Ovis aries: one gene and its partners. The protein of the gene in region 2 purifies or fractionates together with the protein of the main gene of each other region. This does not show direct contact. Links are inferred from orthologs where the notes say so. Each region holds a gene or a part of one and is shown on either strand. Other genes may lie near its edges. The genes, in order: NPLOC4, UBXN7 and KLHDC3.

Region 1 (3,650 bases), on a different chromosome or scaffold from region 2:
GGAACTGCAGGCCTTGTGGCCTGTGCAGTGTGTAGCTCCTGTAGAGATATCAGTTCTTCCCTGGCTATATTTACACAGATTGTGTGTCGTCTACCCCCTTGACATTCTTGTTACTTTTTGAGAGCCACAGAGGAACTGTTGGACCAGGCCTTCTGTGATGGTTCACTTGTAAGGAGATGGAAGATGGCAGTAGGTGCTCACCCAGGAGACCCTGCTTGTCCAACCCTTCAGGTGCTGAATGTGCTCTGTAAGCAGGATCTGCTTTTGGAAGCACATGATGTTCCAGTTCAGCTTTGAGGAGGGTCCTTTCATGAAGTAGTTTAACAGTTCTGTTTAGAGTATGATTGAACAAAAAATGGAATCAGAAGCCTTTGGCGTCGAAACTACTCACAGCATCATCAGAGCTCCCAAATTGGGGATCCTGGAGGTTGAAACATGTGACCTCTAATAACCTCCAGCTCATTAGAAGTTGAAGCTCATGATGCCACATGTCATGAAACAAAAATCCTTAGGTTTGTTCTGAGTTTGTACTTTGAGCTGTGCTCTGGGTGTAGTAATCATCTCCATATGGGTCATACCCAGCAACATAAAGTTCTTTTGTTATTTTGCCAGGATTTGACTAATTTACAAGGATATACCCAATTAGCATAACTCAATTTGGAATTACCTTCACTTTCCTGTTTCATAGCTGTGTCTTCTGCTCAGTATGATGCTTAACTTATGAGCTGCATTTTGGTGCACATTAAAGATTTCAGCATGCTTTGTCTGCTGCAAGAAGTGGAGTCCTGTGGCCAGTGTAGGTTGCATGTGAGCCAGCCCAAGCCCCCCACTGCCCCAAGCTGAGTCAACAGGATACCCACTTCAGGTGCCCTTTTGTTGGCTTAGAGTGTGTTTATCTTCTGTGCTCTCTTATTCTGCCTTGCCCATGAAGCTAAGCACTGTCCCTGTAGAAGTTGTATGCAGGTTGCTAAGCACTGTCCCTGTATAAGTTGTGTGCAGGTTTTCCAAAGCTGTTTTTTCTGGGAATGAATGTTACTTTGTAACTCTAACCTTGCCTAATCTAGCCAAGTTTACTTGGAGTTAAACTATTTATCCAAGGGAGTTTTGAAACTAACTTCTATTCCAAACCAAGGAATCTTAAGGTGTAGAGAGCCTTCTCTAGTCCTGAACAACCACACGTTTCATGTGGAGCTGCTAACGTGAACCAGCCTGAATATTGCCTCTTCCATGTTCTCTGAATCTTGATCAAAAGCAAAGCCGAGCCCTGGAAGGAAAGAGCCTGGAGGGCTTGGCTTGTGGATCTGATTGAGCTTTTTTTACTGTTGAAAATCTCCTGTTTGGCAAGGGAGATTGGTGCTCCTTTGTGACAACCAACCAGAAATGGAGCAGAGCTGCTTGCTGCTTTTCTGAACTCCTCCTCTGAATCCGCCTTCTCTTTAATACCCCCACAGATTGGTACACAGAATAGCTTGGAGCTTCTTGAAGACCCAAAGGCCGAGGTGGTTGATGAAATTGCTGCCAAACTTGGCCTGAGGAAGGTACTGAGACTGTTTTTCCTTGAGGGAGGACCTGGGCTCTGTGTTGGGGACATCTAGGTGTGTTGCGTAGCCAGGCCTGATCCGGGACTGAACCCCCAGCTGCTCAAGGTCAGATGCAGGCCCTGCACGTTTTGAAGCCTCGCTTGTATTTATTGGGTGCCTAAAAAAGGATGCCAGTGTAGGGACTATTATGTGTAAATCCACCAGACATACTTCTTGCGGATTGCCTCAAAGTGGGCCAGGAAAAGCAGCAGGAGCAAGACCCCTACTTCTGCTGCAGGGGACCTGACACCAGGCTCTGTGTCCCACCTGCCTGCTAAGGCACATCCTTCTGGGTGTGAGCTCTCCCTTCATGTGTCTGTCTGCACCGATCATTTTCTCTCCCCTGCACTTGGAGATTCTGGTGGTTCCTCTTCAGTCCTCATTGAACCTCCTGTTTGTAATTGAGGCATCTGAGCATATAAGCCTTGCTAGTTTTCTGGGCAGTTAGAAGACAGAGGGTTTTCTCTTTGAACCTGTTCATCTAGTTTATCTCACATCTTTGGTAGAGTTCCTAGGAACTATAAAGATGACTTTTTATAGATAATGTTGAAATGTGAATTTGAACACATCTTAAAAATTCACTATTAATAGCTACGTAAGTTTTATCCTTTGTTTCCTAATCAGTTTAGACAGAGAGAAAAAGACTCTGTACAGATAAATGGGGGAAGACTGGAAATGTGCCTTTTAACCCAGGAATGCTATGGAGCAAAGTTACTACTTCATTTTAAGAAAAAAGACTCCTGTTGTTTCTAACAAGGAGTCAGTATCATGATTTAGGGGCGTATTTTGGTTTAAATTCTGAAAGTTTCTCATGTTGAAAAGAGAAATCAATGTTTTTTTTTTAAACCCATTTTTGTTATAAATGTTTGGTTCGTGGTAGACTAGAAGATCTTGAAATTACTTAAATGCCTTTCTCGAAACACTAATTCCTTAGCCCTTATCTCAGCTTGATTTTGATTCTGTTTTGTTTAATGGTTAAATTACATTTATCCCTTAAGTCTCATTTTCTCCATTGCCATCCTCCTTGGGAGTTTTGTTCATTTGGACATTTTTAAAGAAAATGAAAGCCTCTTGATTTGGCTGGTCATGTCTGCAGGAGATGGAGTTGAAGAGTTTCATGTCAGGGTTGTACTGGAGAGGGTCACAGACACCAGGTCACTTCTTTGAAGGACTGAAATAGGTGTGTATCTGGATTCCATCGCTGCTCTTCGACCTCCCAGCCAGGTTCTGGTTCAGGAAGGGTAACCAGCTGTGAGATTCATGGGCACAGGAGGGCCAGGGTTCACAGAGCGCATAGACAGGCACTGTTGCTGTAGCAGGACGTGCCAGGAAGGCTGACTATGCCGAGGTCTGGGATTGGCGTTTCAGATTCCTGTACCTTCAGATGCTTCCTTCAGCCCTGCACTGGCGCTCAGAGAAGCAGCTGGGTGAAGTCTCTGTTGTGTGTTTTCTTTTATTTTAAGTGCATTCTCTAGGGAGTATGTTCTCCTGTCTGGAGAAAGCCCTAGCATCTGGAGCGGCACTGTCTGTATTTGCTTGCTCGTTGTTTCTCCAATCCCCTTTTCACTGATACTCTGTTAGTTTTGTCCATCCCAGAGTCCCCTGCACCTAGTACAGTGCTGGGCCCAGAGATGGCGCTGAGTCTTAGTTTCTAACACATAAATGAGCTTTGCTCCTTTGCTCTCGTCTCCACCCGGCAGCATCAGGGGGAGTTCAACCAGTGTCAGCTGAGTACTGCTTGAGAACCCTGGTTTGGACAGTGGCTTAGCTGAGGAGCTGACTCACCTAGAAAGAAAGGACTGACTCCCAGGAGTCTCCTCTCTGGGCAGAGGCTAGAAGGCATTTGTCATCTGCTTCAGGGAGAGACTCAGAAGGTACTTTTCTCTCTTATGCAGGTTGGCTGGATATTTACAGATCTTGTCTCAGAAGATACTCGGAAGGGTACAGTTCGATACAGTCGAAATAAGGTGAGGTGGGGTGGGGATGTTTGCTTGGCGGGACCTTGTTACAGACCAGCTCTGGGCCGCACTCTTGGGTATCCCCGCACAGCTTACGTTTTTAGAACACATC
Region 2 (3,650 bases):
AGATAAACTTTATACATAGCTTATATTTTTATTCAAATTAAGCAAAATTTAGAGAAAAATTAAAAACCAACAAGGAGGGACTTCCCTGGTGGTCCAGTGGTTAGGACTGCACTGCCAGTGTAGGTGTGGGTTTGATCCCTGCTTGGGGAACTAAGATTCCATATGCCATGAGGCACAGCCAAAAAAAAGCAACAAGGAAAAATAATAGTTTCCATTTCCATAAGAAAGTATAGTGCATATTTTAGTATATTTTGTTTTCAACTTTATGCATATATATTTATTGAAATAGATTAAGTTTTCCTCTATATCCTCTTTACGTACTTTTCCAACAGTGTAGGAGGGTTCCCTTACAGCCTCTCCAGCATTTGTTTTTTGTAGATTTATTTATTGATGGCCATCCTGACTGGTGTGAGGTGACACCTCATTGTAGTTTTGATTTTTGATTTGCATTAAAAGTAATTTCTTAACATCTTTCAGTTGCTTTTGCTTATATAAGGCTTCTCCCATTGTAAGCTTTGTGCAGGAAGGGATTTTTTGGTTTGGTAACTGCTATAACTCCAGCATCTATAGCTCTACCTGAAACATGGTAGATACTCAAATGTCTGTTGAATGAATGAATTTGAATGAATGAAAGCATGACTGTGAATAGATGAATTTTTAAAAACAGTAGCAGATAGCTCTCATTGTTTTTGAACTCTGCCTTTTAAAAATTTTTCAGTGTTACGTGGGGTTTTTTTGTTTGTTTTTTGGGGTTTTTTTTTGGTCAGTGTTGCAGTTAAGGCAGACTTAGTAAATTTACCTTATAGGGATGTGTACTATTTAGTCTGTCCCTCTAGAATGTTTTTTCTTTCTTCTCAAATACTTTTCTTCAGTTAAAGCAGTATAATTACTCACTTACCACCCATTTTTTAAATCCACATGCTTGCTATAGGCAAGGGATTAAGTGGAATACTATCACTTCCTAGAAGCAAGGAGTTATTAGATTTTATATACTTAAAAATAAGCTTTTGACCGGTTAATTGTAGCTTTCTGGCTCATTATAAAGCTACTTCCTTTTAGAACTTAGATTTTCACCTTTGGAATCAGTAATGAATATTATAAAATTATTTTCTCTGGAAGATGTGTATAGAAAAGGAGAATAACAATTTTTTAAGATTGTGTAAACCTGCTTATTAAACAGAAGATAGTCTTACGTTTTCCAATACCTCCGAAATGATACATGTTCTTCAGTTATTATTAATCTGAGTTTTAGCTGATTCTTAAGACTTTCCCATGTCACACTGATTTGGGGAAAAAATATATTGTTTCTCTGACAAAATCATTTAAAAGCTATGACTTCCATGTCATTGTTTCTATAAGAGGGTTTGAGGTAGCTTTTGCTCATTTGCTTTTCTTCCATCCTTTTCCAGTTCAGTAATATTTCTTAGATCAATGTTGTGATAAGGCAATGTAAGGGAAAAAAAAGTACACACTCATAACTGATACTTGTGCTGTAAATTGGAGAGTCTTTTGGAGATCATTCTGAAACATCCTTTCATCTGTAGTTTCAGTTTTTAAACACACACCTAGGAAAACAACCCTGAGAGAAAAAATCCTCAGCAGCTTCTAGTCAAAGATTCATAGAGTGAATCTATAAAATGCCATGTGCCTAATAATTGAGATGAATATGATATTTGGAAATGTATGTAAAATGATGTTGAAAAAAATAACAAACTAATACACACATACTGGTTACAGTTATTAAAAAGAAGAGGTATATTTTTGGATAGGGATTAGTAGAGAAAGCACAATAGAATCGTACCCTTGTTTGTGGAATCTTTTTCAGGTGAAGAGGTTTACATGTTTACCAGTGCAATAAAATGCAGCCACTCTAATAAATAACAATGGATAAAAGGAAAACAGTTCATTTAAATTAGAAAAATGCTTGCAAATGGACTGTATAATGTATATACATGTATATATAAGCAAAAATGTAATTAATGTTTATACACAGAAAACTCTAGGTGTCATACTTGAGCAAAAAAACTTAGTATTTACATGGAAAGAAGATAACTTCTGAATTCTGAAACACACCTGTTACCAAGTAGAAACTTTCTAATAATTGTTATGTAACTTTATTCTTACAGGCCAAAGAGTGTGGCCAAATGCAAAATAAGTGGCTGATGATAAACATTCAAAATGTACAAGACTTTGCATGCCAGTGCCTCAACCGTGATGTATGGAGCAACGAAGCTGTGAAGAATATTATCCGGGAACATTTCATTTTCTGGCAGGTGGGGAGAGTTAATCAAACATTTTATAGCATTTTACTTTGGTAGTATGTGGTGTCTAGGAGGAGGAAGTAGGTTATAAGCTAAAAAAAAAACCAGCTGAATTGAATTATTACATATGAAAACATAAAGCCACCCATAATGGGTAAGATAGTAAAGACAAAAGAAAATTAGAGCATCAGTGAAGGGAAGGAGGAAAAAACGGAAGCAAGCCAAAAAAAAAAAGAACCAAGCCATATAACCATATAGTACGCATACTTCAGAAGAATTTTAACATCATTTTTTAACCATCTTGATAAGAGTGTATAGCTGTACTGTTTAACAGAAATGTAATATGATTAAAATTTTATTGTAGCCACATTTTTAAAAGTCAAAAGAAACAGGTAATTGATTTTAATATATTTTAAAAATCAGTATCTGTGATATAAAACTAATGTTAAAATATTGATTGAGGCATTTGGGTTGTGGGTTTGTTTTTTTGGGGGGGTGTTAAGTTTTCAGGATCTAGTATGTATTTTACATTTATAGTATAGCAGTTAGGATTAGTCACATTTCAAATGCTTCAGTAGCGCATGTTCTGGGGGCTACTATAATTGATAGTGCAGATGTAGAAGATTTGAAGGAATTGAGAAACTTTTGTTTAATATGTTGATTTTAGCTTGAGTTTGGTAATCTTTAACTGTATGTCCTTAAATTTGTCACTTAGTCTTTCTGGCTCTGGTTTCTTTTTATATAAATTACCATGCTAACAGTAGGTGATCTTGTTCTAGCACGGATTCAATCTCTGGTCAGGGAATTAAGATCCTGCATGCTGTGCAATGCAGCAAAAAAAATTTTTATAAAAAATAAAAACTTCTGAATTAATTTTTTCCCCACTCTAAGATATGCTGTTAATGTTAGTAATTTGCCAGTTCATTCTTTACAGGCCCCTGAATTCAGTAAGTTTTTTTCTGAACAGTAACCTTTTATTCAGCAACTATTGATTGAGCATCTGTTTGCCTAGAGGTATGCTGGGCACTTGAGTTGATAATCTTAACATATTGTGATTTATTAAGATATGTGTAGTTGAGAATCAGAAGTGACATAGATGGACAGGTGACTTGAAAAGGAAGAACTGGGTCAAGGAGGAAGGATGGATTGCTGTATTTCTGTAAGGGTCAGAAGTGACTCTGAAGGCAGGAAGTGAAGAGTTCACATTAGGTGACCTTCATTTTCTCTGTAGGCAATGAGAGCCTAATATGCCAAAGGTGTTTTTGGAGAATTAATAGCTGTTGGTATATAACAAGGTACTTTTTTAAGAGGCTGATTTTTTTTTTTAATATGTATAATGACTTAACAGGTCTATCACGACAGTGAGGAAGGTCAGAGATACATACAGTT
Region 3 (3,650 bases), on a different chromosome or scaffold from region 2:
CCCAGGGGTGGGCGGGATCTGCGGTGCTGACACCAAACCTTCCGGAAGGGGCGGGGCGGAAGCCTGCGTGGCGGAAGTAACGCCATTAGTCCAATACGCCGCTGAAGCCATGCCGAGAGCAAGCTACCGTGGCGGGGCGGTTGCAGGGCCTCCCAGCAGGGCTCAGGATGACGGGAGCCTGCAGAATGGTGAGGGCACGGTGCCGGGATGAGGGGAAGCGCTGAGGGCCGGGAGAGGGGCTCCGCGTCTGATGCGGGCTCACCCCGAGACTGCCAAGTTGTCTGAAAGACGCAGACACCGGGAGCGCCCCCCAACGCCCTAGAAAGTGGGGAGTGAGAGGATACTTACTGAGTTAGTTTTTTAAAGGGCAAAGAGGGTTTTTCGCAGGAAGAAAACTTACTTTCCAAAGCAGAGTCAGAAGGGCATTGATTATTGGGGAAGACTTAGGTGAAGATTCAACAAATTTCGCCACTATTGAATATCTATTGTACGCAGGCACAGTTCTAGATGCTGGAGGTACAACAGTGAGTAAAGCAGCCCAAAACTGCTCTCATGAAGCTTACTCTTTGGGGGTTAAAAAAAAGGCACGGAGACCTAAGGAATTGCATATTTTTAAAGGCTAAGTTTTATGGTATGTGAATTATTCTATAGTTTTGAGAAAGGTGATAAGAGCTTTGAAGAGAAAACGGGAGGGGTTATGGTGTTAAGTAATCACAGAAGGCCTCACTGAATAGGTGGTGGCATTTGAGAAACCCTGCGAAGGAGGTAAGGGAGCAAGCAATACAGCTGGTGAAAGTGTTACAGGCAGAGGCCAAGTCAGGTGCAGAGGAACTGAGATGGGAATATACTTGCTTGCTTAGGAACCGCTTGGAGGCCAGTTGACTGGAGAGGAGTAGGAAAGAGATAGTAGAAGAGGAGATCAGAGACAAAATGCGATAGGTCACATGGGATCTTCAGGCTATTACAAACCCAAAGCTTTTACTCTTGAGTAAGATGGAAGCCATTGGGGAGTACGGAGTCTGGAGAAAGTGATCTAAAAAATATGTATGTGGAAATGACATGGGAGCGATAAGATCAATTTGCCTCTTTTTTTGGAAAGAGAAAGCTACTTTATTATTTAAAGAAGTTAAAGTGAAAACTTCATGTCTCTAGTAGTTTCCTTCCTTTTTTAAAAAACAGTTTTTATTGGAGTATAGTTGATTTACAATACTCTGTTTGTTTTAGGGGTACAGCAAAGTGAATCAGTTATACGTATATCCACTTTTTTGGATTCTTTTCTGTATGGGTCATTACAGAGTATTGACAAGAGTTCCCCTGTGCTATACAGTTGGTCCTTATTCGCTATCTCTTTTCTATATAATAGTGTGTATATGTCAATCCCAGTCTGCCAATTTACCCCCTAATCCCAGATTTGCCTTTTAGGCATCTCTCCCATGTTCAGTGAACATGAACTTGGGCAAACTCCGAGAAACAGAGACAGGGAGGCCTGGCATGCTGCAACCCATGGAGTTGTAAAGAGTCAGACACAACTTAGTGGCTGAACACCAACAACTGGAGGCTGAAGTTGAGAGATAGCTTTGAAAGCAGTGAGACTGGTGGTTGGGCGAGCAGTAAGGAGGCTAGAGCCCTAAGTGAGGTGAGATGCTGAGCGTAAACTGAACCAGAATAAAGGTAGCTGAGCAACGAACGGAGACAGAGGTCTTTGTGGGAAAACCTGTGAAAGAGAAATTTAAAAGAGAAGGGGAAAACGAAGAGACTGTGGGTTAGTCCATCTCCAGCCTTACATGTATAGCTTCCTTAGCAAGGTGAGGCCCCAGATAGCTGGAATAGTTGGGGCGTTAGGTGTTAGTGGAGCACCATTACAACCTGTGTTGCCTGGAGCCTGCAGCGATCGGTCTAAAGGGTCACTTACCTAAGGAAGGAGGATGGGGCGATGTCTGCAGCAGTGGCAGATGCTGAGCTGAGTTGCAGTCCCCCCACCCCCACTTCCTTTCCCAGACACATCTCACATGTCATTCGAGGAGCTGTTGGAACTGCAGAGCCAAGTGGGGACTAAAGCCTACAAACAACTGGTAACAGGAAGCAGCACTAAGAAGCAGAGTTGTAGACCACCTGTCCAAAAAGCATGTGTTGCAGATAAGCACAGGTGAGGAGCAAGGCCTTTCCCGGGAGTTGGAGGGAAAGACCCCTACTTGAGTAGGTGTCTGCTTTCTTGGGTGGCAGGTGGGAGGCCTTTAATGAGACTGGCGTTCCCTTGACCTGTCCTTCACTTTTTCCATAGGCCTCTGGAAATGTCAGCCAAGGTCCGGGTGCCATTTTTGCGTCAGGTTGTCCCCATCAGTAAGAAGGTGAGGCGGAGGCAGTGAGCATTTTCTCAGGGAAAGGAGACAGAACGGTTCTCTTATATTCTCTGTTCTCTCCAAAGGTAGCCCGGGACCCCCGCTTTGATGATCTGTCAGGGGAGTATAATCCTGAGGTGTTCGATAAAACATATCAATTCCTAGATGACATCCGAGCCAGAGAGAAAGAGGTGAGTAGCATGCGGCTGGTTTGTGGGGATTCCAGGAGGGACTAGAGCACAGGTTAGAGAAGCAGAGGGGAGCAGGGCGAATCAGATTGCTAGTTGTGTGATCATTGGCAAAATACTTAACCTCTTTTCAGTTCAGTTTCCATATCACAAAAAGCTAATAGTTCCATTTCATAGTGTTACTGTGAGTTAACGTATGTGAACCTCTTAGAATGATGCTTGGCACAAAGTTTCAGGTAACATTTACAGAACGTTAACCATCATACTCATTTTCCAATATGGAGCTGGTGAAAAAGCAGCTGAAGAAGCGCCGTTCAGGGGAGGAGCATGAGAAACTACAGCACCTGCTTCAGCGAATGGTGAGAGGGTCGGAGTATGGGGCGGGAGGTGATTCACAGTCCCTGCCGTTCACCTGTCTCACTCCTCTCATCTCCGCTCCACAGGAGCAGCAAGAAATGGCCCAGAAGGAACGGAAGCGGCAGCAGGAGCTGCGCCTGGCCCTGAAGCAGGAGCGGCGGGCTCAGGCCCAGCAGGGTCATCGGCCATACTTCCTGAAGAAATGTGAGCGGGGCACAGCTACGGCCCACGAGACACAGGGGCAGAGACTGGGTAGCCATAGTGATGGATGCTGTGTTAGGGGTTCCTGGAGCTGCCTAAGGGAGGCATGAAGGCTGGATCCCATGGTAACTTAGAGGAAAGTAGAAACAGTAGTAATAGGAAGTCGTCGTTTGTAACCATTCTCATATCCCTAATGAGACTGTGGGCAGGGAGTGTCACTTATCTTTGTCATGCCCCCTCATATGTTGGGTTGGGCACAGAGAAGGAGCTCATGGTTGGTTGAATTGAGAAAGAGTGGAGTTGTGGAAGTCTGCTTTTACACACCAGTGAACCCCTGATGAGTCACATATCCCTGCGTAGTGGTTAAGAGTTACTGACCTGGGGCAAGGGGAGGCAGGGAGACTTCATCCTTTGCTTACTGATTTTCTTTCTCCTTGCCCTCTAGCTGAGCAGCGCCAGTTGGTCCTGGCTGAGAAGTTTAAGGAGCTGAAACGAAGCAAGAAGCTAGAGAGCTTCTTGAGTCGAAAGAGGCGCCGAAATGCAGGCAAGGACAGACGACATCTCC

Evidence for each region.
Region 1: the proteins of UBXN7 (region 2) and NPLOC4 purify together in Homo sapiens (affinity purification with mass spectrometry; 3 studies listed by BioGRID and IntAct, with this or other methods). This does not show direct contact. The link is inferred for Ovis aries from reciprocal best matches to the Homo sapiens genes UBXN7 and NPLOC4.
Region 3: the proteins of UBXN7 (region 2) and KLHDC3 purify together in Homo sapiens (affinity purification with mass spectrometry; 3 studies listed by BioGRID and IntAct, with this or other methods). This does not show direct contact. The link is inferred for Ovis aries from reciprocal best matches to the Homo sapiens genes UBXN7 and KLHDC3.

Annotation. Positions count from the first base shown.
Region 1 is NC_056064.1:50,689,130-50,692,779, forward strand, and holds part of NPLOC4 (nuclear protein localization protein 4 homolog), read left to right. Parts: intron 1-1,451; coding exon 1,452-1,538; intron 1,539-3,475; coding exon 3,476-3,547; intron 3,548-3,650. UniProt on the Homo sapiens protein: The ternary complex containing UFD1, VCP and NPLOC4 binds ubiquitinated proteins and is necessary for the export of misfolded proteins from the ER to the cytoplasm, where they are degraded by the proteasome.
Region 2 is NC_056054.1:191,771,329-191,774,978, reverse strand, and holds part of UBXN7 (UBX domain-containing protein 7), read left to right. Parts: intron 1-2,126; coding exon 2,127-2,273; intron 2,274-3,609; coding exon 3,610-3,650. UniProt on the Homo sapiens protein: Ubiquitin-binding adapter that links a subset of NEDD8-associated cullin ring ligases (CRLs) to the segregase VCP/p97, to regulate turnover of their ubiquitination substrates.
Region 3 is NC_056073.1:16,656,426-16,660,075, forward strand, and holds part of KLHDC3 (kelch domain-containing protein 3), read left to right. Parts: intron 1-87; exon of another isoform or gene 88-109; coding exon of another isoform or gene 110-188; intron 189-1,998; coding exon 1,999-2,146; intron 2,147-2,281; coding exon 2,282-2,348; intron 2,349-2,425; coding exon 2,426-2,530; intron 2,531-2,811; coding exon 2,812-2,886; intron 2,887-2,970; coding exon 2,971-3,088; intron 3,089-3,530; coding exon 3,531-3,650. UniProt on the Homo sapiens protein: Substrate-recognition component of a Cul2-RING (CRL2) E3 ubiquitin-protein ligase complex of the DesCEND (destruction via C-end degrons) pathway, which recognizes a C-degron located at the extreme C terminus of target proteins, leading to their ubiquitination and degradation.